Nothobranchius furzeri: one gene and its partners. The protein of the gene in region 2 interacts with the protein of the main gene of each other region in a pairwise test. Links are inferred from orthologs where the notes say so. Each region holds a gene or a part of one and is shown on either strand. Other genes may lie near its edges. The genes, in order: klhl18, eef1g, ech1, ilf2 and get4.

What was found.
Region 1: the proteins of eef1g (region 2) and klhl18 interact in binary tests that used the Homo sapiens proteins (3 or more experiments, as listed by UniProt). The two-hybrid records come from large-scale screens. The link is inferred for Nothobranchius furzeri from reciprocal best matches to the Homo sapiens genes EEF1G and KLHL18.
Region 3: the proteins of eef1g (region 2) and ech1 interact in a two-hybrid assay, tested with the Homo sapiens proteins (2 studies listed by BioGRID and IntAct). The link is inferred for Nothobranchius furzeri from reciprocal best matches to the Homo sapiens genes EEF1G and ECH1.
Region 4: the proteins of eef1g (region 2) and ilf2 interact in a two-hybrid assay, tested with the Homo sapiens proteins (2 studies listed by BioGRID and IntAct). The two-hybrid records come from large-scale screens. The link is inferred for Nothobranchius furzeri from reciprocal best matches to the Homo sapiens genes EEF1G and ILF2.
Region 5: the proteins of eef1g (region 2) and get4 interact in a two-hybrid assay, tested with the Homo sapiens proteins (2 studies listed by BioGRID and IntAct, with this or other methods). The link is inferred for Nothobranchius furzeri from reciprocal best matches to the Homo sapiens genes EEF1G and GET4.

The regions. Positions count from the first base shown.
Region 1 is NC_091751.1:33,737,369-33,743,356, reverse strand, and holds the start of klhl18 (kelch-like protein 18), read right to left. Parts: upstream 3,976-5,988; 5' UTR 3,608-3,975; coding exon 3,479-3,607; intron 1,882-3,478; coding exon 1,751-1,881; intron 1-1,750. Other genes in the region: poly(U)-binding-splicing factor PUF60a, read right to left, coding at 4,812-5,111, 5,221-5,456, 5,534-5,645. UniProt on the Homo sapiens protein: Substrate-specific adapter of a BCR (BTB-CUL3-RBX1) E3 ubiquitin-protein ligase complex required for mitotic progression and cytokinesis.
Region 2 is NC_091741.1:90,858,442-90,864,338, forward strand, and holds the start of eef1g (elongation factor 1-gamma), read right to left. Parts: upstream 3,721-5,897; 5' UTR 3,632-3,720; coding exon 3,620-3,631; intron 2,858-3,619; coding exon 2,699-2,857; intron 2,505-2,698; coding exon 2,441-2,504; intron 2,121-2,440; coding exon 1,978-2,120; intron 1,151-1,977; coding exon 1,007-1,150; intron 922-1,006; coding exon 792-921; intron 561-791; coding exon 356-560; intron 1-355. Other genes in the region: polr2g (DNA-directed RNA polymerase II subunit RPB7), read right to left, coding at 4,075-4,088, 4,282-4,315. UniProt on the Homo sapiens protein: Probably plays a role in anchoring the complex to other cellular components.
Region 3 is NC_091753.1:47,223,864-47,229,785, forward strand, and holds the start of ech1 (delta(3,5)-Delta(2,4)-dienoyl-CoA isomerase, mitochondrial), read right to left. Parts: upstream 3,601-5,922; 5' UTR 3,368-3,600; coding exon 3,331-3,367; intron 2,577-3,330; coding exon 2,408-2,576; intron 917-2,407; coding exon 828-916; intron 752-827; coding exon 627-751; intron 550-626; coding exon 501-549; intron 215-500; coding exon 150-214; intron 1-149. UniProt on the Homo sapiens protein: Isomerization of 3-trans,5-cis-dienoyl-CoA to 2-trans,4-trans-dienoyl-CoA.
Region 4 is NC_091751.1:23,257,761-23,263,794, reverse strand, and holds the start of ilf2 (interleukin enhancer-binding factor 2 homolog), read left to right. Parts: upstream 1-2,695; 5' UTR 2,696-2,848; coding exon 2,849-2,853; intron 2,854-3,166; coding exon 3,167-3,226; intron 3,227-3,853; coding exon 3,854-3,896; intron 3,897-4,023; coding exon 4,024-4,128; intron 4,129-4,216; coding exon 4,217-4,294; intron 4,295-4,534; coding exon 4,535-4,637; intron 4,638-5,030; coding exon 5,031-5,096; intron 5,097-5,331; coding exon 5,332-5,448; intron 5,449-5,937; coding exon 5,938-6,016; intron 6,017-6,034. UniProt on the Homo sapiens protein: Chromatin-interacting protein that forms a stable heterodimer with interleukin enhancer-binding factor 3/ILF3 and plays a role in several biological processes including transcription, innate immunity or cell growth.
Region 5 is NC_091756.1:28,101,788-28,107,867, reverse strand, and holds the start of get4 (Golgi to ER traffic protein 4 homolog), read right to left. Parts: upstream 3,852-6,080; 5' UTR 3,820-3,851; coding exon 3,602-3,819; intron 3,590-3,601; exon of another isoform or gene 3,366-3,589; coding exon of another isoform or gene 3,340-3,365; intron 2,775-3,339; coding exon 2,696-2,774; intron 2,451-2,695; coding exon 2,369-2,450; intron 1-2,368. UniProt on the Homo sapiens protein: As part of a cytosolic protein quality control complex, the BAG6/BAT3 complex, maintains misfolded and hydrophobic patches-containing proteins in a soluble state and participates in their proper delivery to the endoplasmic reticulum or alternatively can promote their sorting to the proteasome where they undergo degradation.

The DNA of each region.
Region 1 (5,988 bases), on a different chromosome or scaffold from region 2:
GCCTGCCTGCCCCCTCCCTCTCTCTCTCTCTCTCTCTCTCTCTCTCTCTCTCTCTCTCTCTCTCTCTCTCTCTCTCTCTCTCTCTCTCTCTCTCTCTCTCTCTCTCTCTCTCTCTCTCTCTCTCTCTCTCTCTCTCTCTCTCTCTCTCTCTCTCTCTCTCTCTCTCTCTCTCTCTCTCTCTCTCTCTCTCTCTCTCTCTCTCTCTCAGTTGCTGTGCGAGCGAGCGGAGCTTGCGATGTGACAACCCGCTCAATTAACTTCATTCACGGCCCAAATCCAACAGAACCGGTCGGGCTGATTCGGTTCGGTCTCAGGTTACAACTCTAGCGCTCAGCCCTGCAGTACCACATTAAGGCGGAACCACTTGGTAAATGTGGAGGAGACTCACTCTGACAGATTTGGATACTGCACTGGTGGCACTGTTAAAAACAAAACTACAATCCACTCTAATCGATTATGGCGTACTCTTCTACGATGCAGAATCGTTTATGTCCACATCCCGATGAATCGATTATTTGATTATTTTCCTCAGCTCTAGTGATAGAACGTAAATAGACAGTTCAACGATCTCCAAGCTTTGGTAGATTTTCATCACTTTATAATCCTTAACGATCTTATATTGTCAGATCTCACGGCCCCAGTAAGAAGCATACTTTCCAGGAGTGATGCTGAAAAACTAGTTCATGCATTATTACATCAAGACTGGATTACTGTAATCCATTACTCTCAGGAAGTCCACAGAATGTAGTTAAAAGTCTTCAGCTTGTCCAAAATGCTGCAGCTAGAGTTCTGATGAGAATTAAAAGAGAGATCATATCTCTCCTGTCTTAGCTTCCCTACATTGGCTACCTGTTAAATTCAGAATAGATTTTAAGATCCTCCTTCTCACATATAAAGCTCTCAATAATCAAGCTCCATCATACATCAGTGATCTGATTGTTCCATACGTTCCTAACTAAACACTTCGCTCTCAGACTGCAGGTCTACTGGTGGTTCCCAGTATGTCTAAAAATAGACTAGGCTTAAAACATTTTTATTTGATAGGGCCTATGGTTAAAATCTGATGTCAGCCCAGATCTGGACAAGTGGGGGAGTAGAGGGAGGTGGAGTGTACAGTCGGTAAAGACGACTCTCCCTTGCCCTGCCTCCATTATGCCTCCATCTAAAAGGCTAGGTTATCCAGAGTTATCTCTGTAGTTATGCTGCTATAGGCTTAGACTGCTGGAGGATACACTGACCACTTTCCACGCTCTACTGCTTTCTTCTACAATCTGCTCTTTAACTGTATTATTTCCTGCAATTTCAGCTGTTAACTTTATTTTTTCTCTAAGTGTTTCCCCCCCCAGAAGAAGCTACAATGATGTTTTGCTGAGCTGTGGTGGCCTCATGGAGGGGGCCATCGGCTAGCACACTGCTGCTAATCACTTAAACATTCTCTCTCTCTTGATAATAACATTTTACTCTCTTTGACATGGTAAATGGTCTGTATTTAATACAGTGCATTCTAGAGTCCTGGAACCCCCAAGGCACTTCACAACAAGGTCAGTCATTCACCCATTGATACACCCATTCACATTCTGGTGTGGATGAGCGACAACCCGCCTTGCCTGCTGACCACCACCAGCAGGCAAGGCGGGTTAAGTGTCTTGCCCAAGAACACAATGATGGCGACAACTGAGCGAGGCTTGAACCAGCAACCTTCAGATTACGGGGCGATCGTCGCCCCAATGGAATGTGTTAGTATGGTTACCTGGGATCCATGCCTTGCATCAGGATCTCATCCTGTTTGCACTCCACCATGTCATTGGTGAACATGGCATGGAAGTACGGGATGGAGGCAGCCAGGACAATCCGGTGAGCGCTGAACTTATGATCGCCGACCTGCAGAGAGAGGACACCCACAGTTACCTCCAGGCCAGAGCTGGGTGGCAGAATCATAGCAGCCGCTCCAGCGTGGCGGCAGACAGCTGCTCAGTGTTTGAGTGTGAGGTCCTCATACATTCTGGCAGCAGAGGACTGAGTGTATGAGGACCACACAGCAGTATCAGTGAGAGAACAGGGAACAAAATGGAGAGAGAGAGAGAGAGAGAGAGAGAGAGAGAGAGAGAGAGAGAGAGAGAGAGAGAGAGAGAGATTGATATGACGGTGGGACTCCTCGCTGGCTGGTGCTTAAGCGGAGAACCTCTCACACCAGTGGTGTTCTGGTGCTAAAGACGTGAGTTTGTGATGAGTGGAGGACCCAGGGAAGGGTGGCGGTTCGGTGAGGCCAACATCCGGATGGTCCAGTGGTTGGTTTCGGTGTGAAATACGTTATTGGTGGAGATTTTTAAACAAATGCGAGAGAACCACACTTTTTGATCTCCATAATTAATTAACAGCTATGCTATGTTTGAAGGTTAAGAGACACGAGAAAATGTTTAATTTGTAGTAGCAGCTTTGATAGTTGGTTACTTTCATATTTTGTCCAGGCATGGGTGGAGACGTATTTCATCCACACTTCCTGTTCGGAAAACGCTTCTGAAAGAGGCGTGGCCTGGCGGACCGAGAGAGGCACTGATAGACTGCCACACTAATGATTACACATGTGTACTGCACCATTGGCATACATGGGCGACGGTGGAACAGGAGTTAAGTGCTCGCCCCGTAATCGGAGGGTTGCAGGTTCGAGCCCCGCTCAGTCTGTCGCTGTGTCCTTGGGCAAAACACTTAACCCAGTTGCCTGCTGGTGGTGGTCGGAGGAACCGGTGGCACCAGTGCTCGGCAGCCTCGCCTCTGTCAGTGCGCCCCAGGGCAGCTGTGGCTACATTGTAGCTCATCCCCACCAGTGTGTGAATGGGTTAATGACTGATTGTGTTGTAAAGTGCCTTGGGGGGTTCCAGGACTCTAGAAGGTGCTATATCAAATACAGGCCATTTACCATTTTACAAGCTGGTTAAGTTCAGCGTTTAAAACTGATAAGGGTCTGAAATGTTAGTGATAATCATCGACATATAAATATAATAATTCAGACAAAAGAAATCAGGATTCTGTTGTTTATTTTAGAAAACCCCTGCTAGGAGGTTCTGGTGGGTCCATAAACAATACTGAGCCTCCTGAGGACTTGTGGGTTCTTCTCCAGCTGGACCACCAGAACCTTCACTGGCAAAGCGCTTTAGAGTCCGCTGACTCAAGGCGCTGCGACTGAAAGTCACTTATCGTTTAACGAGTTGGGTCAAATTAACACTTCCGGTTTCAGTCCACCTGTGCTGCAGATAATTGATCATAACAGTAGGTGTTGTCTGAGCGTGCTGCCGACCACAAATTGACCTTTCACCTTCATAACCCCTAAGTATTAATATCGGTCTAAAACATTCGCATATGAGCGTCTTCCGGCCGGTCACAGGTCACGCATTTAACGTCATACCACCGATGTTAGCCTGTTAGCAACTTGTTAGCAAGCTGTTGGGTCGCGGACCGAGTCCACGCCGTCAGTGTTTACCTTAATCGTGACGTCACAAAGCTTTCCCTGACGTCGGATCTCCTCCATGACGACATAACCTCGCGCGGGCAGGTCGTGCACGGAGAAATGAACCAAATCTTCGAGCTCTTCGCAAAATCCGTCTCCCATCGTGGGCAGGAACTCAACCCTTCACAATAAAACAACTTCCGCTTCTGTAGTGATCTCCAAAATAAAGTTGATTTCAAACTGATATGAACGTCCGACCGGAAGTGTCTAACGTTCTGATCCAAGCGGATTTAAATGTTTTACAGAACCTGATTTGGAACTGCAATTTAAAGCCATTTAAAACATTTATTCTTGAAACAGATGACTTTACCAGACCAGCTTTGGCCGGGGTTTGGACTGGTTCTGTTCTGGGTTGGTGAACTGGGAAAACCCAATCAGACCAGAACCTGAAGTCTGACTTGGATCAGGTCAGAAACTGAAGCTGGAACTGAAGGTTTCCCAGGAAATCACGAACTTCCCATTAGCTCAGAAACGTGTCAATCAATTGCTGGAATGACGAGTTAACTCTCAAACATGAAGAAAGTTTCCATGGAAACAGGACCACTGAGAATCAGAGGAACACTGCGTATGGATCTAAACGGTTGAGGGAACCAGTCTGCTGGAACTCTGTAGCTGTCCCCGGATCAGGAGCGTTCTGAATCAAATAACCCAAACCCTATTGGGACATCAGAACTCCACAACCAACAAATGGTCTTGGGTCGGATCAGCGGGTCCTTGGGTCATTTTATTAGAAAATGTTTCAAAACAATCTGCAGCAGCATCCCATGAGTAAAAACAGCTGAAAAATCTTTATTTACATTTCACCTGAAACAGCCAAGCCGCACCAGAATGCACCTGTCCTGATGATCCACTTATTTCTAGTTCTGGTTTGGGTTCTGCTTTGAATTTGCTGCCAGAAAGAAATCCTGCTTGACTGCCGAGTGGTTAGGAACGTTCCTGTGGTTAGGGTGGACCCGCTCAAACCTTCTGCATCCTGCTCACCATTTTACACAAGTCAGACCTGAATTAGCTCCAGACCTGGTCCTGGGCTCCAGGAGGACGTCCCATCTGGATCAGCTGTGACATGAAACCACCATGTTCTGTTTGGACCCAGCTTCTGGGTGGACCTGGTGAGTTCAGCAGAAAGTCATGTGACGGTTCAGGAGGTGTCAGGGGCCAGTGCTGTGAGAAGAATGATGAGCAGGGCAGAAGTGATGGTAAAACGTGAAAGACAACCTGAAGAAGGTGTTTCCATGGAAACAAGACCAATAAAAACCAACCCAGTAAGAAAGAGGCCACTACGTTAAGGTGAAAGTTCATGGTGGCTCTACGCTGACAGGTCACTGCTGTCGAAGCGCTCCTGATCGTAGACCTCCGCCACCACCTTGCGTCCTCCGAACCAGCGGTTGTTGAGTGCCTGGATGGCTCGGTTCATCTCTGCCACCTCAGAGAATTCAACAAAGATCTTCACCACGATTTCAGCATCCTCCTCCTCACCCTGGCGCTCCTGGTAGATGATGACTCGCTTCACCTGCCCAAACTTTCCACACTCCTCCATCACCTCCCCCTCCAAGTCATCGTCGATATCTTCTGGCCCGACCATGTTCCTCAGAACCATGACAATGGACTGGAAAGGACAACAGGTTCAAAGGTCAGGGACCAATGATGCAGCTGACGTTTAACAGCAAAATTAGACTAAACAGCAGGAGGCTGATTCTGGTCCAGGCGCCGCCCACCTCCTGCTTCCGCAGCAGTTTCCTCATCACCATGTGTCGGGCGCTGTTGCCACTAATGCTCACATGCTCCTGCTCACTCAGGGGCTCCATGGCTTCATCTTGCTGCACCTCCTCCTCACGCTCCTCCTCTGTCTTTTTCTGCTCAGAACTGACTGATGTCTTTGCATATGGGGGAGTTGCCAGAACTGGGTTCACCAGCCCCACATGGGGTAGACTTGGACGAATGGGGGTAACACCTGAAATCAAAAAAAGAGCAGTGGATTAGGTAGGTGGAGGCAACAAGATAGGGGCAGAGCTAAAAAGCTATGTATACCTGTTATGACACCTGGGGCCTGGGCGGCCATGACGGCCTGAGGAAGTCCAAGCTGCTGAGAGAGGAGTGCTGGTCCTGCAAGAGCTCCAAGTACAGATGCTCCAACTGCCTCCTGAACACACCACCAAACAGGAAGTTACAGCCAGAAACGCTTCAGCGGTAGTACTAAAGTGGTACTATAGACGTTACTGCTGCTGGTACTACAGAAGTACCATAGATGTTACTGCAGCGGTATGTTTGTAAATATCACTTTTATTTAGCATCGATGGAACAAAGATTTTCGGTCGAAATTGACCCAAAAGAGCATTTTTGGTTCTCCGTTGAAAGATGTAAATGACAACATGGACACAGCCGAAGCAGGCCGTCGGGTGAACCCCATTCTTGTTCGCTCGGACCTCTTAGCTACTTGCTCTTTGCTTCATAAAAACATTCATACTCATTTCAAACGTTTTAGT
Region 2 (5,897 bases):
AGGAGAAATGTGGGCTCACTATGAACCAGCCTTTATTCTCACTAAAACAGAGATGACTGGGATGAATATGGCCCTCATTCTCTTCCCCTGTCAGATTAAGACTTTGTGTCATGAATGGACACCGCCTTGCCCAAAGACAGGGGACATTCATCACCTGAAATTAACTACTTTGTTTTAAAACTGTCAGTCTATGAATCAAAGACTCAATAACACATCAAATACCCAAAATGCACTAGATTCCATAGACATTTTCAGATTAATATATGCATCCAATTAAACTAAGCACATTTCTGTAATACACCACCCATATGTAAAACTAGAACTTCTGATGGCGCTGCTCACTACAAATCTTTACCTCTTTGGCAGATGTGCAAAGGGATCCTTTGCTTTGGGCTCTGCAGCCAAAACAGCATCACAGTCATCCATCTCCTCCTCAGGATCAGGCTTCTTCTCCTCCTTTTTCTTTTCTTTCTTCTCCTGGGGTTTGGCTGCCTCCTTCGCTGCCTTTTCCTTCTTGGCGGGGGCCTCTTTCTTTGGCTGCATCTCAGCAAACTTCTTAGCTAGTCAGAAGAACAGTTATCTACTCTTAAATCAGTTATTTACAACCATCTATGAACAAGGACGGTAGACTATTAGTGATTTATTTTGACTGGACAAATAAGAACATCTTAAGTCATACTACAGATCTGTAAGACCAAACTGATATCTGCGTTAAGTTTCAACTCGCAGTGCAGGTCCTTCTGACATCCTTTGATTACGAGTTTATTCTGAACTCACTGTTGAGGACTCACCATCAAACTGAGCCATCTTCTCACACAGCTTGACTTCTCCGAGAACTGCCTTGAACTGGGGCTGGTTTACACAGGTGACAAACCAGCGGGTCACGTTGGGATATGGCTGACGGAAGGAAGGTTCCAAGACCTACAGAGCAGAGAGGTTTCAGCTCTTCCCGAATTAAATATTAGAGATCAGGAGTGTGTGATTGGGTGCTTTGTGAACATCAAACCTGTTTGTAGAGCCAGACCATGGAGCAGGCCACAGTTATGTCTGCTAGGCTGACGCGCTCCCCTACAAGGAACGTGCGGGTGTTCAGATGTTGGTTCAGCAACCCGAGGACCTTCTTGATGTCCTCCTTGGCCTGCTCAGTTGCCTGTATGGACCAAAGAGACAGTTAACTTTAGGCAAAAACAAACCACTGGAGTCAAATATGATAAACTCCAGCCTGCAGCTTAAGCCGGGCGTACACTGCGACTTTTTCACTTTTTTGAGCAGATTTTCCACTCGTGCGAGAATCCACAAGATCGGGGCGAGTGTTGCGCTGGTCGTCGTGTAGTGTAAAGGGGGTTACGAGAGGCGATCAACACCACGTGACCAGCTACCGATCAGCAATCATGAGCTTGCATGGACTCCTGGAGTGTTTGATATTTTGCTCGTTCCACGTGAGGGTTGAAGCGGCGCAGCGAGCGGCTGTGACCCAAAAAGTACCAGAACCGCTCAAGGCGCATGAGCAATCATGCATCAACATCGCTCGCCCGCCATTTCCCTAATAACACATGTTAGTTTTTATTTCAACATGTTTTTTTTTTTTTTACATATAATGACAAGGATTGTCAAGAAAGCGTGTTTGTCGTGTTCATGTCAAATTAAACCGATCACAAAACACAGATTAAATTTATTTCGTTTTCCTCATCCAACCCCCATAAATCCCTGTGTGTCCTCCTGCAGCACTCCCGAAGGACAACAGGCAAAACAAGACAAAAAAGTCTGACGTGTAAAAACTGCTATTTTTAGCATATTTTTAGGTCCGACGTGTTGCTACCAGACGTACAGTGTGAGCACATGGCTCGTGAGATCTGCCCTGCGAGGAAGTCGTACAGTTCGAGCTGAAGCCGAGTGCTACGAGTGAAAAAGTCGCACATTGTCCGCCCAGCTTTACGCTAAATCACAGTTTAATTATAGAACTGCAGATCTGCATACCTGCTTGTTGAACTGCATGATTCCCAGAGTGGGGAAGACCCATGCGCTGGCTGGAGGGATGATCTCAGAGTCAGCAAAGCTCACCCACTGCAGAACCTGAGCAGCTGCCTGAGGCGTGGCACCACGCAGGGCCTCATTGCTCACTGGAATTACAGAGCAAAATATTTGCCAGTTACTCACATGTACACTCTTCTTTAAAGGTTCTACACCCTCTGAAAAAGGTATCAGCTTGTAGGAATAAAAGAAAAATGTTTGAAATTGGCCTTTCCATCTTATTTCAAGACACACTAAGAGGATCAGCAAAAAATCCAAACACCAAAGTCTCAAGGAACACTTCCTAATTAATTTTGTAGAACTTTTAAAAAGTGATCCCAAATGATTTGCACATTCACCCAAATGTCTAGAGTTCATGTGTGAAAAGGACTTATACAACGGTAACCTTTTAATTTAAAGTAAGACTTACGGTAGTGAGCAATGGCATTACTCTCAAACAGACAGAACCCGTCATCCCCCTGGTAGGCTGGCACCTGTAAACAAGGACAGAACTTAGGTTTAGAATAGTTTGAAGGCACAGAAGCTAAAACCTGGACAAACGTGTGAATTAAACAATGTCGCCAAGAAAAATCCATTTTAAAGAAACCATTTCGTACGTATACAAGGAGCAACAACTGAGAGTTGTTGGCCAGTTTTTATACAACGAGGGAAACAAGTTTTTACTCACCTTGCCTAAAGGGAAGTTGTTGAGGAAGGCTGGGGTGCGGTTTGTCTGCCCGAAGGTGAAGGCAGGAGGGCTGCTGGCTACTTTGAGGCGAGCACCACTGTATTGGGCTGCAATCTGGGCCTTGAAGGCCCGCCAGTTCTCTGGATATGTGTATAAAGTCTGAAAGGAGAGGACATATATTAACTACATGGATTCTTCGAAGGGGGATAGGTTTAGTTAAAAAATGCTGTTTCTAACTAACAACAGAAATGAACTTAACAGCATCCAAAATTTAAAAAGCTGCCTTGCACTGATGCATAGAGCAGATATGGATCAGCTGGGATCTTTACCATACGTGTCACTCTGGGACAACAATAGCAACTAGGATCTGGTTAGGAATGTTTCTGGTTAATTAATCAAGTCTTCCGCTGAGAGTGAGCATTTCGTAAGGAGGAGTTTGCACCATTTGTCTGGTTTAATTCACTGGTGATAAATGGTTTTACCCACACTTATGAAGAATGGGGTTTTGTTCTTGTGGCTTTCAGCTTGATTTACACGCAGACTAGCTACCGACTCGGGTAATAAACTGTTCTAGAGCATTCTGAAATAAAAACAGACCGAACTTGGGCCTACATTTGCGTTAGCATCGGTGGGAAAACTGAAACTGTAAAAGAATGACTCGGAAATCTCTTAAGAGTGAACGATAACGTGGCACAACCCTGTTAGCAATCTCAATGAATTAAGAATAGCAAAAGCTAACTCAGGCTCAACGGTCCATCATATTTTAGTAAATAGGCCCTAAAACAGCCTGCAGACAGCTGGATGCTGCAGTTCAGTTAGGAACTGACGCCGTCAGTGTGCAGATGGCTCTGATTTCAGTCGGATTGTAGCAGCAAATCTGAATAAAAGCTCCATGACTGGCAATTTCTCCATCTTACTCACCCCTGCCGCCATCTTCAGGAAGAGAGAAAGAAAGAACGAGGGCGCGCGCCACTGACGTATTTACGGTCGTTAAACGTGCGCGTCCCTGAAATATCCACGTTCACAGTTTGTTTAAAGCCGCCAGATTTTGCCACGTTTCCAAACATTATTTAGCCTTTCGTTAGTCTGCTGTAGCGGGCTGCTGTTGCTCTGCTCTGGTGGATCAAACCTCAAAGACACAAACATATTCAAATGACAAACTTTATTACAGTTTAGATATAAAAACAATATAAATGGACATATGCAAGTACATCTTCTCCATAAAATAAACTATCACTCATGAGATGATCTATATACTGATTACCATAAACACGTTTATTTTTAGGTTTTTTACACCAGTTAAAAAAAACTGGAAAAAGTAGCTATGAAGTGTAGAAAAATATTGTAAAAGAAGACTGATGTGCTCCAGAGGCAAATCAGCTCACAAGACCTGAAAATTAAACAAAAAGGTGGGTTTATTAACCAGTGATTCACAGAAAAGTAAAAGTGTGCACTGAGTAAAATACATCTTTCCATGCACTATAAACGAACCACATATTTTTATTGAGAAGAATGTTTTTATGCAGGTCTAATGAGGAAACCAGCAAGCAGAACCATGAAATGTGGTCTAGATTAACACTCACCCAGATAGTCGTCCATGAGAGATCCAATTGCAAACTGAAAAACAAAGAGACAATTTTTTAGGCTTTCTTCTAAAACTAACATACATTTCAAATTTTGCATTGCCCAACATCTTACACACTAGCCTGGCCTGCCAGACTCCTCTCTGTGCAGAATTAAACAGAGGACGAGTCTGGCAGGCTAGGCTACTTACACACAATAACATTTATACTTGTTTTTGTTTCAGATACGCTGAAACTTCAGGTATGATGTCCAAAAGCTTTTTTTAGGCTTTTTCCAGAAGGGAAATGTCAAATGTGGCCACAAAAAGGAACAATGGTGCATCAGAGCGCTCAACATTTTGTTTTCGTATTCATAGCTCTCAGTGCCTCCTCAAAACCTTTCTTGGGAAACAGTTATCAGTGAATTGTCGCATTTAATTTAGGTAACCAAACTTATAAACAGGGATTGTAACTTTGTGGCCAACAAAATAGTACAGAGAAAAGGTTGTTGTAGAAACAGACAGAAACAAAGGGGAAAAAACTGGGTGGACAGAAGCTAAATCATGGAGACATTAGCAGGGGTGGACTGGCCTATCTGGCACTGTCCTGGTGGGCCACTTGCCCATCTTGGGCAGACATGCCCCCACTTCCCGCACGCACATTCAGCGGAATAGAGACAACTCCGCGAGCGCACCCCCCCCCCCCCCCCCCCCCCGAGTCTGGTGCTCCGCTGCTGTGGGACACAAGCCCCCACAATGCGGCTCAGAAATTGGTCTCAACCCGGAGGTACCAAAAATTGCAGTTCCACCCTCATCCGCTGGGGGCTGGTGTCAGAAGCGAGCAAATCCTCATCAACTCCCATGTTAAAAATACCACTATCACAGCAGAAATAAACATGTTTACAGCCTGGTACCAAAACATGTTTTTTGTTTAAATGATCTAGTTTATACTCATGACAACTCTGAGGGGGTGATTTTTTCTCACTCTTCTGTTTAAGTGTATTAAAAGCCTAAAATTCTGTATAATTAATGAGCATCAGACCCACGTGACCACAGAGCTAGCTCCGTGGAAAGGCCTCAGTAGAGCCTCGGCCTGGCTTGGAAACTGCTCCGGGATTTTGAGTCTCTGTGTTTGTGTATTCTTTTTTGGATATTATTTGTGCAATTGTTGGACAAAATGACTTGCTGTGGCATTAATTGCACTAATAGAGCGTCCAAGGAGTCTCCGCTTCATTTTTATCGGTAGGTAAAATTATATTTATGTATTTTAGGTCACTGCCGAGCTGAGCTTAGATTTTAACATGTACTGTTTAACCATGAAATTTAAATGTAATAGGGTAAAACCCAGTGAATTTAACATAATGCTGCACTTTAGAAAATGAGTTGAAATATAACATGTGGGCGGAGCTGGGTTCCGACTATCGGCTTGTGGAGCTCTCGGGAGACCGACGTTTTCCACCCGGTTCTCCCCTCCCCGCAGCCCAGCGCATCTCTGTCTGATCGTGGCTTCTGTGTGCTGCGCGGGCTGCTGGCTTGTGGAGCTCTGGGATGGAAACCTTTCCACCCGGTTCTCCCCAGCGGCAGCTCTGCGCATCTCAGATCACAGCAGCGCTTGTCTGCTGTGCGGCTGCCGGCTTG
Region 3 (5,922 bases), on a different chromosome or scaffold from region 2:
TGTCCAGTCAAAATACACAAACCCAGTGCTATGGAAACATCTCTACACATTTATATTAGTTTAAAAAATCATTAACTTTGGAAAGGAGTAATTCTTGCTGTCTTAATTTATTTTTTATTTCACCAAATGATAAAATCAGCTTAACACACCTTAACCTGAAACCAGGCATCCTGGGTGCAGAGACGAATGTCACAAGCCGTAATCAGGTCAACACCTGAAATAAAATAAACATTAATATTGAACTCATTGACTAATTTTCTTCTACTAAAATCAAATTCATGAAACTTACATTTCAATCATGCTAACTGTGCGTTTTCTATCTTAAAATTAGTGACTCAAAAAGAAACAAAACAGTGGTTCAGTGTTTAAATCTGTTTATGCAACAGGTGAATCCTATAGGAAGCACAAATCATGGCTTCAGCAAGTTCGTCTCAGTTTTAGTATTTTATCTAAAGATACTTCTTGGTGAACGTCACTTGAGAATTTCTTTTGTGCCCTACCTCCTCCAATACAGGCGCCGTGAACAGCCACCACAACAGGCTTTGGACACTACAAGCAGATAAGAATAACTTCATTAACATTCCTGCGTCATTATTTGTCCAATGCATGTGATGAGGAGCTCTGACCTTCTCTATGACGGAGAACGTTTCTTGATATTTGGTGATGGTTTTTCTGAGGTTCCAGGAGATTCTTGCCACGTCGTCGCCTTTCGGCTGGAGGATATCATTGGCCATGTCCATCAGGTCAAGACCTGGACATCAACAGAGCATACGGAATAAGCGCAGCTCCGCTGATGAAACTGGCATTAGTTGTGACCCGAAACACACCAGCTGTGAACATCCTTCCTGCTCCTGACATGACCACCACCCTGCAGTCTTGGTCGTCTGCAATCTCATTAAAACAGTCCACCATCTCACTAAAAAATAAAAACACAAACACTATGTCAGGGCTGCTTCAACTATGGATGCGTTTGCAGCTAAGTTTCCGTTAAACTGGATTATTATTAATGTAAGTGATTAAATTTTATTTGTGTGGCACTCCTCACAGACAAAATCACAAAGTCATTAAATCATAGTCATCATAATGATGTGTGATGTGATTTTAATAAAATTATCCAAATAAAAGATTAAATTTAGATGCTTAAACCAAATATTAATGACCTCAAAGCAGAAATCCAGAGCTTTACCCTTTTCAGGAATTCTGTATGATTTTTTTTTTAGTAATCCGTAAAAGGGATAGGCTTCCCCTGTTCTGTAATATAATGTAAATGGAAAATGGCCTGTATTTGACATAGCGCCTTCTAGAGTCCTGGGACCCCCCAAGGAGCTTTACAACACAGTCAATCACCCATTCACACACACATTCACACGCTGGTGGGGATGAGCTACAATGTAGCCACAGCTGCCCTGGGGCGCACTGACAGAGGCGAGGCTGCCGTGCACTGGCGCCACCGGTCCCTCTGACCACCACCAGCAGGCAAGGTGGGTTAAGTGTCTTGCCCAAGGACACGACAGCGACAAACTGAGCGGGGCTCGAACCTGCAACCTTCCGATTATGGGGCGAGCACTTAACTCCTGTGCCATCATCGCCCCTAATGACGATAGGCAATAGTCGAGGTTATTTATCACTTGTAAGTCGCTTTGGACAAAAGCGTCTGCTAGATACATAAACATTTTGTTTTTTGCTAAGCCCACCTGCCCTATAGGCTCCCATACAATTTGAAATGAACTAGCCAATAGCGTTCGACATCTGCTTACGTACAAATGTCAATCACAGAGTGCGTGAACACCTGACGAATCATAGAGCGCAGCTACAACTGCCTTTTGAGGGACTAAAAATACAGAACAGATTGCCTACTTCTACTCAGCGAGTGAATGTGTGTGTGTGTGTGTGTGGGTGAATGACCGGATGTGTTGTAAAGCACCTTGAGGGGTTATACGACCCTAGAAGGCGCTATATAAATCCAAACCATTTACTCGAAGATAGACAAAAGTAAAGAAAAGCCCATGGACTAAACGATCGAGTCGTTTCAACTGTATCATGGAAGCAGGGGGAGGGGCTTGAAGTTGCAATACAATTCTGCCTGTAGATGGTGCCCTCTGAGAAAAATGGATTTCTGATTTATGATAGCATTTTAACTACTCTGCACTGCCTCCTTACTGTATTGTATACAAGCTCTAAAGCTATTATTTCTATATGTAATATTTTAGAAATAAATCTATAATATGTGTGTCCTTATGCATATGTGTGTCTAGATAAAATACATCTTAAAAGTTTTAAGAAAATGTGTGTTTCCTCAAGAAAATTGGCATAAAAACTATTACATGACTTCACTTGAAGAAAAGGTACCCCAATGTCACGGAAAAAAACACACATTTTGTATATTTATTGCTATAAAAATGCTCACCTCCAGAAAGCTTTGTTCATGGCGTTTCTCTTCTCAGGTCGGTGAAGTTCGACATGTGTGAGGGACTCTACTGGGCGACTGATGGCCAGGGTCGTGTATGGAGATGTGGGTCCATCTGAAGATGACATGTTCCTGACCAAAGCCTGAGCAGGCAGCCACAACCTACTGTCTGAAAAGGAATTAAACACGCTTGTGTTTATCTACATTAGGTCACTGATGTATACTAGCTAACCTGCTTTAGGGTGGGCTGTAATGCAAAAAACAGGATCAGGTGACTTGTCACCAAATGCTGCAGAACTGTTGTGTAAAGGGCCTGATAGCATTAAGATGCTTATTATTATGAAAAAATATCCAAAGTTTAATTATATATAAATACATATAGTTTGCAATATTTTGCAGCACCTCACTTGGTCATACATGAATATTACAGCTATGATCAAAACGACTGTTTAATTTCCTTTTCCATCAAAGTAAATCTGAATAATAATAATAAAACACCAATTTCTGTTAATTCCATGTACATTTTTTTATTTAAAGCATTTTAAAGGAATTTCAATCACCTTACAGCTGTAACCCTGCAAAAAGAGACTTAATTGTGAAATAAAAGTCTATATTGTAGACATGCTGTGACATTTGTTAACGCAATGCAAATCAGTAAAAAGGTTAGATACTCAGTATATTTATGCTACAACCTCAGTTATAACAAAAGTATATAAAAATACGTTAGAATGCGTGTCGATTAAGCAGCTACCTTTCACCTACAAACCTCTCCAGGCTTTGTTCATCTCGGTCAATTTGAGGGTTAAATACAAAGTAGAGCTAGTACTAATGACTAACATCCAAACAAACGTGCACATCATGTGACAAAAGAAAACATCTGAACTAAAACAGAAACACAGAAAAAAGGTTAATCCGTTACTTACATCTGGGGAGAGTTGACCTGATACTGACTGACAACATCGCCCTTTGAACGCTGCAGTCGGGAAGCTTTGGTGAACGGTTAAACCAAAGCAAACTGGCAAAAGACTAACGACGTCTAGCTAACCCTAACTAGTAACCAACAAGTTGGCTGGCTTGCCAAAACTCTTCACTGCTTCATTGGTTAGCTTCCAAATGACAGAAAGACTGCTTGACCGCTTTAACCTAAATCTACATGAAATAAGAGGAATGTTTAAAGCAAAAACTGGCCATAAATGTTAACATTTCGCTCTCCTGATTAGCTTAGCCTCTCTAAATTGGTTCTACGGTAGCCGAGTTGGCGCAAACGCTCCAGAAACGCTCTCTTTCGTCACTGTGACGTATAGAAAAACTGGACGAATCCTATGCCATATATCCATTTTACTTATTATTATTAATAAAAGACAATGACAATAATAATAAAATGTACTCTGTTGTTATTAGTTTTACAGTAGCCTAGGTTTGTAATTACATATAATGTCCATTACAATAATGTGCTTAAAAACTGTACTATAAACAAAAAAAGTTAATCATTCTAAGGTTTTAATTTCCTCCTTTTTTTTTTTTTTTACCTCTTTTTACTTTCCAGTTTGAATTTATTTTTAGTCAAAGTGCATTATCTTCTGGGGCACAATCTGATATTTTCATTTGTTAATTTGACAGCAGTTTTTATTGTTTTTTTGTTTCACAACTTTTTAAAAGTGGCTGCTTGAGGGCTTCCAGTTATAAATGTCTGATCATTTCATATACAAACACTGAATGTGGACATTCTTGGTTTTTAAAAGAATGTACGCAAATGGGCAGAGATTTTTGCTTGGTGCCCACAACAGAGATCAGAAAAGTGCAAAGCCATGAACATATCTTCTGCTGAAAGTAATTAAGCGCAGATTGCAGAAACTAATAAATAGAAATTTACTCTTTAAATTAAGCTTTCAATAAATGAGTAACATTAAATTTAGTATAAATTAGGTGTGAAAACTCAACAGGAAATAAACTACATTAATTATAATGTGCTCAAATCTGTCCCAAACAAAGTCCAATAATATTTCGGATCAATTTTTTAAACATAAACAATATAATGGGTTGGCTCACATACAGTTTAATTTAAACTGAATTTAGTTCAATTTAATCTTTAAAATGAGCTTTTAATCTATAGTTTGATTTATTCAACAGACCAAACAATAGCTTTAAATTCAATATTCTTTGAGAGATTTGTGATTTTTTTAAAGATATTTCTAACATATAAATGTTAAATAAAAATGACTTTTTCATGTACAACATATTTCCATCATGAGGTCTCAGTAGCTGTTCCAGAGTGTTATTTTTTCTCATCTGTGGTTATTGACCTGTAAATGAGTATATTTTTATTTTAAAAATAAATTAGTAACATGAGATAAAACATTAAATGACAGAAAATCCTCAAAATGACTATCTAGTAAAAATCCACCTCCAATCCTTGGAATTTGTTTGGTTATTAACCAGATGTGGAACATGTTCCCTCAAAAACAAAAGTTAGAGTAATTAGATGAATAAAACACACTGGATATTAAGAATGATTTTATTCATTCAATATATAAAACATCACTAAAATAGAAAAGTTTTGATCACAACTGATCATAAATAAAAATTGACAAAATAATTAATACAAATATTTCCAAAAACAGAAAAACTAAAAACTTTTTGGGCATTTAAAGACACATTTTATGTAAGAGATTTTATTTGTTTGCCAAACCTGTTTGTGAACCAATGAAATCAAAGTTAAAGACTGAGGTAGACATGCAAAAGAACAAATACATTCATGTTCAAGAGGTAAAACACGGACTTTGTCTGGTTCTGTCTCTGGGGTTGATCCAACATCTCAGACATTTCAGATGGAGTCAGGGTAGGTGTTAAGGATTTGATCACAGTCAAAGTTTTCTAACTGATCTTTAGAGATGCCTCTCATTGATTTGGCTGCCCATTCAGGATGGGCAATGGGTTCTGACCAGTGTTTTCTGGAGGAAATAAGAGTCAAAGGAGGTACCACGGAGGAAGGGCTGCATCTTAAAACAGTAAAGATTACAAAGGCGGTTTCCTGGACTCTTGCATAGAAGCTGAATCAGCGAAGAGTTAAGAGCTTTTTAGTTGCTTTAAATGTATACATTAGAATTGAAATGTGTTTCTGTGTAAAAATGTCCATCTTATGCAAACCATTTCCTGTAAGTCCTTTGTTTGGAGAAATCGAGTTTAAGTCCAACAAGATTGATCAGCCACTGCCTGGTCTTAATGTAGAGCCAAGATCAAGATCTTGAACTGATCATTAAAGTACAAATTCGCTGAAAAATGTATAATACATGTTCGTAACAAGTTCTAGTTCAGAGCAAGCGTTTATAAAGAGGTTAGCGAGATCCAGCTTTTATTTTGGTAACCAATTTCCGCCTATTGGCAAGCGAATTTGCATATTAGCTAAATGTTTGCCGTCGTCGTCGTCGTCGTCTTCCTCCGCTTATCCGGGTCCGGGTCGCGGGGGCAGCATCCCAACTAGGGAGCTCCAGGCCGTCCTCTCCCCGGCCTTGTCC
Region 4 (6,034 bases), on a different chromosome or scaffold from region 2:
ACATACTATAATCACAAAGAATACTGTCATATTCTGGTTGATTCCATCTCGGTGGTTGCCTATCCAGCCATGAGTTAGGCGCCAAATTGAAATCACCTCCTATAACCTGATCAGTGCTATATGCAGTTCTCCACTGTTTAATTAATTTACTTAAAGTTGTCATCATGTTTCTGTTTAGTGACCTATTATTGTACGCATATACATTGATAAGAAGGAGCTTTTGTTCACAACACTCTACTATTACCATGAGCCAATGTCCCTCTTCATCTCTTTTATGATCAATTACGTTGCCAGCAAAATTATTAAATAAAATCATCACTCCTGCCGAGTCAGCAGTACAATGTGAAAAAAGAAAACCATCTCCCCATTGATGTTTCCAGAAAGTTTCATCATCACTACTAGAATGTGTCTCTTGCAAAAACAAAATGTTTGCCTTAATTTCTTTGCAAAATAAAGAAATGGCCTTGCGTTTCACTTTGTTTTTTAAGCCTCGAACATTTAAAGAGCTTATTTGAACAGACAATTAAAGGTAAAAAAAAAAGATCAAGAAGACACAACGCAAGAACAAATTAAACTTTTCCCTTCTACTCTTATTCTCTAGAAAAATGAACTGTTTCTAGCAGGAGTAAGCATGAAGTCCTACTTATCTTGTAAATACAGTATTCAGATTGTCATTGTGACCCCCCCCCCTTTTTTTTTATTAGGAACCAGAACTTTTTATCTACCTCCAGATTTACCTATGCCATTCCACTTTTATTATTTCTGCATGCATATTATGGGTCAATTCTTTTGCCATCTGTTATAGCAAACCCGTCTTTCAGGAATGCTCTTCTGCCGTTGTTTTGAGCCTCCAGCTCCTTGGGCCACAGCTTGATCCGAGCTTCCTTATCCTCTTTGGAGAAGTCCTCTTTAACGTTTATGTGCAGTTCTTTGCAAACCCTGGCCTCCCTGGATTTCCTCCACACTTCATCCCTTGCTGCCCTCATGCTAAACTGAACGATGATCGGTCTTGGCAGCTTGTTGTTTGCAGCGTCGCCCTTCTTCCCGATTCGATGTACTGTATCCACCATGAGCTGCAGCTTTTCCACTGACACAGGAATCACTCTCGTCAGGATGCCAATCACTCTATCCCGTGTATTTTCACCCTCTTTTTCTGCCAGGCCAAGTAGTCTGAGGTCCCATCTTCTTCGGTATCTTGAGTTTTCCAGACATCTTTCCTTCAGTTCTTTGTTTTCCTTCGTTAAAGCCTCCATCCTTGTTTTGAGCTTGTCTGTTTCCTTTTTGTTTTCTTCAGTTGCCATTTGCCTCTATCCTAAGGTCAAAAGCTTTCAGATTTTTGTCTAGCAGATCAAATCTTTCTGGAAAGGCCAGCAGGGCTTCATAGATGTTTTCATTGCATATCTGTTTGCCAGTAGCTTTATTTTTCAGGTTTTTTTTTTTGATTGGGGCTTTTTATTGGAGTGTGATCACCAGTGGGTCTTGCTGCTATCTGTTGATGCTCCATCTCCTCAATGTCTTCGTCCGCACATGCTTCCTTCATTGCCGCAAGGTTGTAGTCATGGTCGGAAAGACTACCTATTAGCGCCGCCATGTTAGTCATTTGATTTTTTGTGTTTGCTACTTTATCTGTCCAATAACTCTTCAAAAACATGTTCCACAGGTACCGATTTCCTTTCAATTTCGTTCTGAATAACTGTTTATCAGAGAATTACTTCTCAGAACATTTAAAACCCACCGTTTTATCAGACCTGCCAAGTTTCCAGCACCTGCTCACTCTGCCATCTTGAATTCCCCCTCATGCACCACTAAACAACAGTGCTAGAGGAGAGCAGCTGTCCGAAGTAAGATGGCTGCCGCGTACGGACGTCAGGGTCCATTGACGAACAGCGCAGGTGAGAATCAGTGCATCTTTTGTATGACAGAATGTGAAACTATTGAGCACCTTTTTCTTCTCGTGTTCAGTAACACTTGGTTTTGAGGAGGATGTTTATCGATTGGTAAATATTGAGAGAAATGATGTAATCTAAAGTACTGATATACATGGATGCTCTTCCAAAAAAGATATCCAAAATGGTGAACATTACCAAATACATAAGACTAAATGGAAAAACAGCAAGCCTAACATTAATCATTTTAAAAATTAAATAAAACAATTTACAACATCTCAAAGAGTATTTTCAGAAAATAACCAATCTATAACTGAGTTGTGCGAAACAATGTCTGAGTTTCTTGTTCTTTAAATTACAGTCCAATGAATCAAACATGTTTGAACTATAATGCTGAAATATCAACCTCTGAACGTTTTTTGTTTGTTGTTGATGTTATTTTATTTTTTGTTTTAATTATTATTATTTTGCATCATAATTTATTTTATGGTAGTGCCATGCGGTAAATGTTGCAAGTTCTAAATGTCATTTTTATTTTCCTCAAGTGCGGTCATTTGTATTTGTTATATTCTTCAGTACGTTGAATGTAGGTTACATTGTAAACTGAATGTATGTGAAAACGAAGATTGAAATAAAGTTAAAAAAGAGACTTGACCAGAAAGACGTGAATGAATAAAGTTACGCTATGGCAGCAGCAAAAAAATATACCAATAAATAAAAAAAACAGCGCATCTAGCTATAATATGTGATATCTATGCGGTCCACACTCCATTCCAGTTGGGGGCGGTAATGTACCACGGCGTTGGTGACGTAAAACAGAAAGAAAGAAACAATTCCGCCGGAAACAGAAGTCTCTTTGTGCCACACTAGTCCCTTCCGCAGTTAGCCTCCGCTCATTCATTAAACCATATCAAACCGTTCTCCCTGTTTTCTCTCATCAAACCATCAAAACGTCGTACGCAATGAGGTAACGCTGACTAACCGGACCTGGTTGTGTTGGCTTTACGCTAACTAGCCTGTAATCAGTGTCATTAGCTGTTAGCCATTAGCTCGGTATAGCTTTCTGTTAAAGTCTCGTTCTGAACGTGGTGTTACTTATTTATTCCTCCAATAACAGTGTTACTGATAACTCTTACGTTTTATCGACAGCAAGTTAACACTGAGGTAGCGAATTAGGACTATAACACACGTGTGTTAGCTAAGATCAGCGTTTTTATTTATCCTTTAGTCTGGCAGTAGCGAGCGCACTGGACTGATCTGGGTTTTGTGTTTGTGAACAGAGGAGACCGCGGCAGGGGCCGAGGACTCCGCTTCGGAGCCCGGGGAGGCATGGTCCAGGGGTGAGTACCTTACTGATCTCTGTTCCTGTTCCATACTGGTTCTTTCAGTCAGGTCCTTGATCTGGTTGTAGAAAGTATCTGACAGTTAGTCTTAAGTTTGCTGGTTCGATTCCTGCTTCTGGATGGAACTCGGACCCATAAGCCATCAGAGTAGAAAAGTCTAAGTGAGAAAGATCTTCAGAAGTGGAAAAAGAAGCCTCTTGTGATTACACAGGACGACGGCACTCTCCCCAGAACATCTCCAGAAGGACTTCTTCAGAGCAGTTAGATCTTTCCATCCTGTCTGAAAGCAGCGTCCTGTTTCTGTCTCTTTAAACTTCATTTTTTCCCAAATGAAACAATCCATTGATTTCTGGATCCTTAAAAAGCTGCTGTAAAGTCTGGAATCATCAGCTCATGTTGTGCGTGGTCCTGGTGATGAAGCTAAGACGGATTGTTGGTTATTGTGCTGAAGCAAAAAGAACCGCTGCCTTGGTTATAACTGAAACCTCCAAATCATTGTTAAAATCTACTTTTTGGGTTTGAACATCAGCTTTCATAAGGTCCCGGTCAGACGTTCTGGTTCTGACTAGTAGGGACATTTGTGCCAGTCCACCGATTCTCCGTTCTTCTCTCTGTCCCGCTCAGGTACCGTCCTTTTGTCCCGCACATCCCATTTGACTTCTATGTGGTGAGTTCACGCATGTGACAGACAACAGAACAGCATGCAGGAATAATCAGTAACCATGGCTACAACTAGCATCTGGTAGAATCCGGTCCATTTTGTGGTTCTGAAGCAGACTGTTGTCCTTCCCCAGTGTGAGATGGCCTTCCCCAGAGTGAAACCTGCTCCTGATGAGACGGCGTTTAGCGAGTGTCTGCTGAAGAGGAACCAGGACCTGAGCCCCTCACCTGCAGAACAGGTCAGCTAGGTATTCCAGTTCAACACCTCACTGGTCTCATCGTGCTGTAGGTTACTTACCTGACGTCTTCATTTCCTTCTGCTTCTAGTCTTCCATCTTGTCTTTGGTCACAAAGATCAATAATGTCATCGACAACCTGATTGTTGCCCCTGGTAGCTTTGAAGTGGTGAGTGGTGAACATCTGACCTGTAGAGCTGCCATGTTTACTGAAACTGGTGTAAATGAGTTGGTGTCAGTAAGGCTGTAATGATCTGTGTTTGCTGTCACGTCCTAATCTGGGATTAAATGTTTCTCTTCCGTCATGACCTTCCTAGACCTCCCACAGGCTGAGCTTTATGTAGCTGAGCGGTTTTATCTTTTAGAACGCATCAAAGCCATCCCGCATGCTTACGTTATCTGTCCACAGCAAATAGAAGAAGTTCGTCAGGTGGGTTCATACAAGAAGGGAACCATGACAACTGGACACAACGTCGCTGACCTCGTTGTCATCCTCAAGATCCTCCCTACACGTGAGTCATTGTTCATTCAGACCAGCCCTGGGTCCGTCACTAGGGCCTCATCCTGCTGGAACAGCTTCAACAGATGTTCTGGTGAAACCACTGAGCACATCTGGACTCGTGTTGGTAAATACATGGCTAGTCCCATCATGCAGCCCGACCGGACCGGCTATCCAGCAGCTAAGCTGTTTAGCTTTAGCCTCTTTAAGCTTAACAGTGATGACGAAACTCGTCAGACCGTACAGGAACTCGAGAACAGAAGTGTCTGAATCCTAAATGTGTTTATGAGGCAACTTGGTGTCATTTAAACCCCGAATACCGTCGGTAGAGTGGTGATTAATACTGAGTCCAGTGTTAAACACCTGGAGCTAAAGCTGACTCTGCTCTTCATGTTTAATCTAACAGTGGAGGCAGTGGCTGCGCTCGGGAACAAGGTGGTGGAGACTCTTCGCACCCAGGACCCCGCAGAAGGTACGGGGGTGGGTCTGTGTGTGTGTGTGGGGGGGTGTATCTGCAGCTCTGGACCTTACCTAAAGGCTGAAGTTGGTCAGAGTGCCCTCAAGAAACAGAGTGAGCATCTTTAGTGAGTTAATGATGTAATAAACACTAATGGTGTGTGTGTGTGTGTGTGTGTGTGTGTGTGTGTGTGTGTGTGTGTGTGTGTGTGTGTGTGTGTGTGTGTGTGTGTGTGCACCCGCGCTTTCAGTTCTCTCCATGCTGACCAATGAGACGGGCTTTGAGATCAGCTCAGCTGATGCAACCGTTAAGATCCTCATCACCACTGTCCCGCCCAACCTACGCAAGCTGGATCCAGAGCTGCACCGTATGATACACACACACACACCCACACATGCATACACACACACACACACATGCACACACACAGACACTCGTTTTTTAAGGACTTCTCCGTTTTAAACGGTTCTTTCCACTGAACCTTTGATCTCTAATCTGTACAAGTGGTGTGAGTGTGTAAGACGGTGTTTGGGTAGCCTCTGGACCGTGTGTGTGTGGGATGACAGAATCGTTGTTGGCCATATTTCTCAGATTGTTTGGCTGCAGCAATATTATTGTAATGATGTGACTAGTAAAGTTTTAAACAGGTCATTTCAGGTCACCGTCGTTAGGCTGTGAGAGGAGTTAACGAGCTGTGGTGGACCAGAACCGATGCTAAAACGCAGCGTAGCTATTAGCTAATGCCTCATGCACCAGAAACCTGGGTGGATGAGACGGCAGCGTCTTCAGCACCGTGATGATGTCAGTGTTTCTAATGAAACCTGCATCCATGAACACTGACTCTCTGTTCCTCCAGTGGACATCAAGGTTCTGCAGAGCGCCCTCGCCGCCATCCGCCATGCCCGCTGGTTTGAAGAGAACGCCTCTCAGTCGACGTGAGCTAGTCTTCATTA
Region 5 (6,080 bases), on a different chromosome or scaffold from region 2:
ACCTGTTTTAAAAGGAGACGTGTGTGACACGTCAAAAAGCGTCACCTGCTCGACATTAAAACCACTAACCGAGTGAAAAATATCTAAGTACTGTCGACACAGACGGGCTACAAGTTCTGGGTCAATTTTATACAAACTGTTTTATTTATTATCTTCTGTTGAAAGATAACTTTAAGGTACATGAGCGACTGGCATTGGTTGCTGTCACCTGTTGTGATTGGTTAAAGCAGCTCTCTGCTGTCTGAGGGCAGGCCACGCCCACAACGCCCCGGCTGCTGCGGCTCCCAGTGTTTTCTTTACTGTGGGAAATGAGTAATAATGGCTCTTTGATGGGAAAAGGTTGCCGACCCCTGAACTACAGCGTCATCAACAATGGTGGGAGGAGAGAGAGGTACGCTTTCTAGCTGGAAATATAGTCACTATTTTGAGTTTGTATCAGCTAAAGAAGAAAATATTAAGGTTCGTTGTACACTCTGTGCTGGCTCTGTGTGTTTTATTTTTTATGAATACTATTTATTTTAAGTGAGGTCAAGAAAAACTGTTTTTATTTTATTTTATACAAACAAGCATTACGTCAGGCAATAGGTTTTAAGTTCAACTTAAAATGTAAGAAGATACGTTGTTGACATTACTGTTAAAAAACATTTGCAATAAAGTGAGTGTTGGCAAAACCTGTTGTAGTTTTTATGTTGAGGCAGTGGAGAGTGTTTTTGATAGATGCTGAAAGTAACTAATAAAGTAACTCGTAATCTAACTTAAGGCGCTATTAAAAACCTTTGATCTTCCCCTGAACCGGCAGTGCGCCTTTTATACATGTATTAAGGTAACTCTGGCCCAGCACGGTACCCCCCAGCGCCGTCCTCATCACCCTCACCTAATAAAAGGTGTGGCACTGCTCCACACAGCTATACCGGTAACCAGCCATGGCACCAGCGAAGAGACACACTTACGAGGCAGAGTTCAAGCTCAAAGCCATCGCTCACGCCGTTGAGCATGGAAACAGAGCAGCAGCGAGAGAATACAAGATTAACGAGTCGATGGTCTGCAAGTGGAGAAAGTTGGAAGACCAGCTGCTGCAGGTCAGTCAGTCAGTCAGTCATGCCGTTACCAGAGTTTAAATCTTCATTCTTGCTGCTAAAAGCACCCGTGCATTAAACTGGGCCATTTATGTTACTTTAATAATGAGAAATTTATTTTTTAGTATAGATAATGAGTGGAGTAACGTTTGACTTTGATCTAATTGCCCAATTTGCCTTAATTGTGCCGACCGGGACGCTTGTTTGCTTTGCTGGGTGCGTGTTTTGATCCAGTGAGCCTAATGTGCGGACCAAACCTTTAACTAGGACGCTGATTGGCTGTGCGCCGTATAATCAGGTGAGCCTTATGGTGCGGAAAATACGGCAGTTACTTTTTAAATGAATGAATCAGTAAAGTAACTACGTTACTTTTGGAAGGAGTAATCAGTAGTCAGAAATCAGATTACTATTTCAAGGTAACTATGGAAACACTGCTGACAGAGGCGTCAGGCTGATGAGCACAGGTACCACCGGTCTCTCTGAATCCCACCAGCAGGCAAGGTGAGTTAAGTGTCTAGCCCAAGGACACAACAGCAGAATTCTCTGTCCAGAGCCAGGATCGAACCTGCAACTGTCTGATTACCAGACAAGTCGCTCTACCTCCTGAGCTGCTGCTGCCATATGAGGCTGTTCCTCTCCACTTGCAGGATTAAAGCCATAAAAAACACACTATTGCACTTCTGGAACAATGCAGGGAGTAAACAAACCATTAGGTAACTTCTTTTGATGTAATCTACATAGATATGAAATCGCATTGCTGCAGTAGTCTTATTTTGAGAATTACCAGGGGTTTTACATTGAAACCGTGTGCGACTTCCTGTCTAGCCCTATGCTAACTGTGTAAATTGTTGTGTCCCAGATGCGGCTTGCTGCAAAAATAGAACCCATCCTATCTTTAGTGGCATGGCCAGCTGCTTCTGGGACGCGCTTGAAAATTTCCGCATAGTGGCTGGTTTGAAACCCCCCCATAGATTTTAATGTCTTCTCATTTGAAGCAGCGACAGTCCGTGCCACTGATGCTTCCAGTGTGAAGTATGGGTGAGTTTTCAGAGGAGGCAGGTGTATGTTAATTGGATCACATAACGATACAAGACCAAGCTTGTCTTGGCAAAACAATTTAACCTTTTTGTTGTTGGTTTCATTATTTTAGTGATTTCTTAAATCGAAGTTCAAATAAAAATGTGATAAATTGTACAGCTCTATTGTCACATAATGAAAAGAAAGCAGATCAAAATCAACACAAAAGACTCAGTAAGAGTTATTTTTAGACACAATGAAAGCTCGAAACCCACCTAACATTTCATCCTCAACTTTAGTATCAGACTTCTCCAAAACCTCCAACACCAGCATGGAAAGATCTGCTGCGCTGTTTTGCTGTAAAGTAAACCACAATGAACTCATGTTTGGGGCAGCATTATTGTCACAGAACGTACTGTAATCGGTAAACTTAACCCAAGCCACAAGTCAGGCTGTACAGTTAAAGTTATGGTTAATTCAGCAGGCAAAGATCAAAACTGTAAACCTGACAGCTGTTGTGTACATGCTAATTTCTAATGAAATGCAATTTTAAACATGAAATCTGCGGATGTTCTAGTCAAAAACGTGGGTGTGGTCTGTACCTGGTTGTAGCTGAAGAACAGCAAAGCACCGTTGTACATCAGCTCCCTCGCCTCTGCATGTTTTCCTTGTGACATATACCTGATGGAAGGCAAAGGGGAACGGAGTCGTGCACTTAAAGACAATCTCCTAAATCTCCCTAAGGCCAAATGACCATATACATCTGATAAAGTAAACGATAGGATTGTGACAATCAAGAAACGGACGGAATTAACTGAAAGAACATACATTTGAGGGAAATTGGCTTTAAACTGGGAGCTTTCTCGACAGCTTAGTACGTTTTTCAAGAGGGAGTAAGCAGTTAAGTCAGACCACAAAACTAGTATTCTACCATAGTAGGGTGGGATATGACATAGTTTATGGAATATGATATAGAAGTGAAATGCATCAAATCAGTCTGGTATAGCTCAAAATAAAACAAACTGTTTAGAAACACGTCGTTATTTCGTATTTTACTGCGAGGAGATAGCAGAAGGCTGCTTCCCACCTAGCGAAATGCTAACGCAAATGAACATGAATGTACTCGTTCACATAACTGCATTGTAAACCAACGAAAACAGTTGGTCGCTATTTTCAGTTTGTTTTCAGTATACATTTCATGATTAATACAGCCAAAAATAAGTTATCGTTGTCACATTTTACTCACTCTGCTAACAAAAAATTTGCTATCATCAGCTCGGTACTAGCGGTATCATTACGGTAAGCCAATAGCAATTGTTCTTCTAAAGATAGAAAGGATCACTGTCCAATCAAACACAAGAACCATCAAGGGAAGGCGGGACACAGAGCGAATACAACCAATCACGTACAAGCACCAGTCAAAGGTTTGACAGCGGAATGATCTGGAACAGGCCGGCCTGACCGTAACTACAAAAGCACATTAGAACGAACATATTGTGAAGTCTCACCTGAAAAATAAAGTTCTATACATTTGGTGGGCTTCATAGTAATCTCCCTTTTCTACGCTTGCTCGAAGCTTCCCTTCGACCCTCTGAACGCCTCCTCGGTTTCTAGCACTGGAGCACCTCAGGGACTCGGGCTCCGCCATAGCGATGCCTTTAGCAGCAGCAGCGACTAGCGAGAAGGTCCTGGCTGCGGCTCGTAGCAAGGGGCGGGGACGGGGCATACGGAGCAACTATAACATCGATGACTCTGACGACTTAGCCTTGTTCTTGTAGAGAGGCACTAAACTGAGAGGCACTATATTAAAAAAAATGTTTGTTCTTCGTATTACTTTTTTTTTAAATTGGACTGACTCTTCACAAAACAGCACACCTGGATGAACTGGGTCAATCATCACTGCGCCGCCTACAGGTTGTGCAGAACAGCGCAGCCAGGTTACTGACTGGGACCAGGAAACGGGACCACATCAATCCGGTTTTGCCCTTCCTGCACTGGCTTCCGGTCTGTTATCGTTCACACTTTAAACTCCTCGTCTTTGTTTACAATTTCTTCCAGGGTAGTGCTCCCCCCTATCTGGCCACGCTCCTGAACAGACATTCCCCATCACGCACACTGCGCTCCTCTGACCAAGGCCTGCTCGCTGTCCCTCGTTCTAGGTGTCGTACTCGTGGGGACCGGGCTTTCTCAGTCATAGCCCCGTCACTCTGGAGCCAGTTGCCACCCTCAGTCAGGCTATCCCCATCTCTGCCAGCCTTTAAGAGTCGCCTAAAAACCCACCTCCTCCGCTTCGCGTTCCCTGAATATGTTTGAGTTAGGCCTTCATTTATGTTAATTTTAATTCCCTGCTTTCATTGGTCTCTTTATCTCTTGTTTTACCCATTTGTTTTCTACTTTAATGTTTTTACCTGTTTTTCTCATGTACCGTGTTCAGCACCTTGGGCTTCGCGACAGGGTCACGAAAGGCGCTTTATAAATAAAGCTTGGATTTGGTTTGATTGATACGAGATACGTTGCTTGATTTCCTCTCGGAAGAGGTTTCTTTTGTCCGAATGCAGCAGAAAGGCATCTTGGTGCATGTAGGTAGAGGAGGTATCCAGAACTAGGAGAAGGATTAGAAGACTGCTTTCCTGGTTGACACCAAGGTCAATGATCTCATTATCACCGGATTCAGCATCAAACTCAGATCATACGCCGTGAACGGGGAAGAGTCCCATGACCTGGATGTCAGCTCCATAAAGCAACAGATGGCTGATTTTTTTTACAGACCAAGGGAACTGAGTTGGACTTTGGGAATATTGAGAGTTGCCACACTCTGTCCAGAAGAAACAGCAGAGAAAAAACAGCTGTCATCATGAAGGTTTGACATAATTAACCATGATTAAACCAGCATGACATCAGGGGGAAATCACTTGACTGGTTTAAAAGTGAAGCATCCATCCATCCATTTTCAGCTGCTTATCCGGAGTCGGGTCGCGGGGGCAACAGCCTAAGCCGAGACGCCCAGACTTCCCTCTCCCCAGCTACTTGGACCAGCTCTTCCGGGGGAATCCCAAGACGTTCCCTGGTTAGCCGAGAAACGAGGGCCCAATCTCAATACTCACACTGCGCCCTGCGGTCTTCAGCAAAGTGCACTTGGAGAAAGTGCTCAGTAGGGTTCGAGTGCGTAGTACACAAGTGTGCAAATAATTGCCGAAATGAGACAGGGAGCATTGCGTCATCGATTGCGACGCATGCCTTGTGCCGGTAGCTGTGAAACTTTTTTCAAAAACCTTTATTAACAACTTTCAAACAAATAACAAAGCAATTATTTGAAATAAATTTAACTTCATTGTTGCTTAAGTTCTAAAGTCCTAAAACGAACTAATTTTATTAGAAAATACATGTTTTCAGAAAAGGAACTTGAGCCTTTTCTCCCGCAGCAATGACTTGTGGGTAATACCCTTGCCCGAGGTCCGCATCGCTGCAAACTTGGATGAAGTGCAGATTAAGGGTGCAATGGGGGCGTGGTCAACTTCCGCACTTGAGAATCGAGACACCCTTCGCACTCGCACCCCTGGCCAGGAACGAGCAAATAAAGGGTGCCAGTGCGAGTATTGGGATTGGGCCATGGTCTCTTCAGTGTGTCCTGGGTCTTCCCTTGGGTCTCCTCCCAGTTGGAGGTGCCCGGGAAACCTCATCAGGAAGGCGTCCAAGAGGCATCTTAACCAGATGCCCTAGCCACCTCAACTGGCTCCTTTCAACACGGAGGAGCAGCGGGTCTACTCCGAGCCCCTCCCAGATGACTGTGCTTCTCACCCTATCTCCAAGGCAGAGCCAAGTCAGCCTGCGGAGAAAACTCATTTCGGCCGCTTGATTTCGCAATCTCATTCTTTCGGTCGGACGGTGGAAGGAATACTTTGAGGAGCTCCTCAATCCCACCAATGCGCATTTCGAGGAGGAACCAGAGCTGGGAGGCCTGGGGATGGACTGTCCGATCTCGGGGGC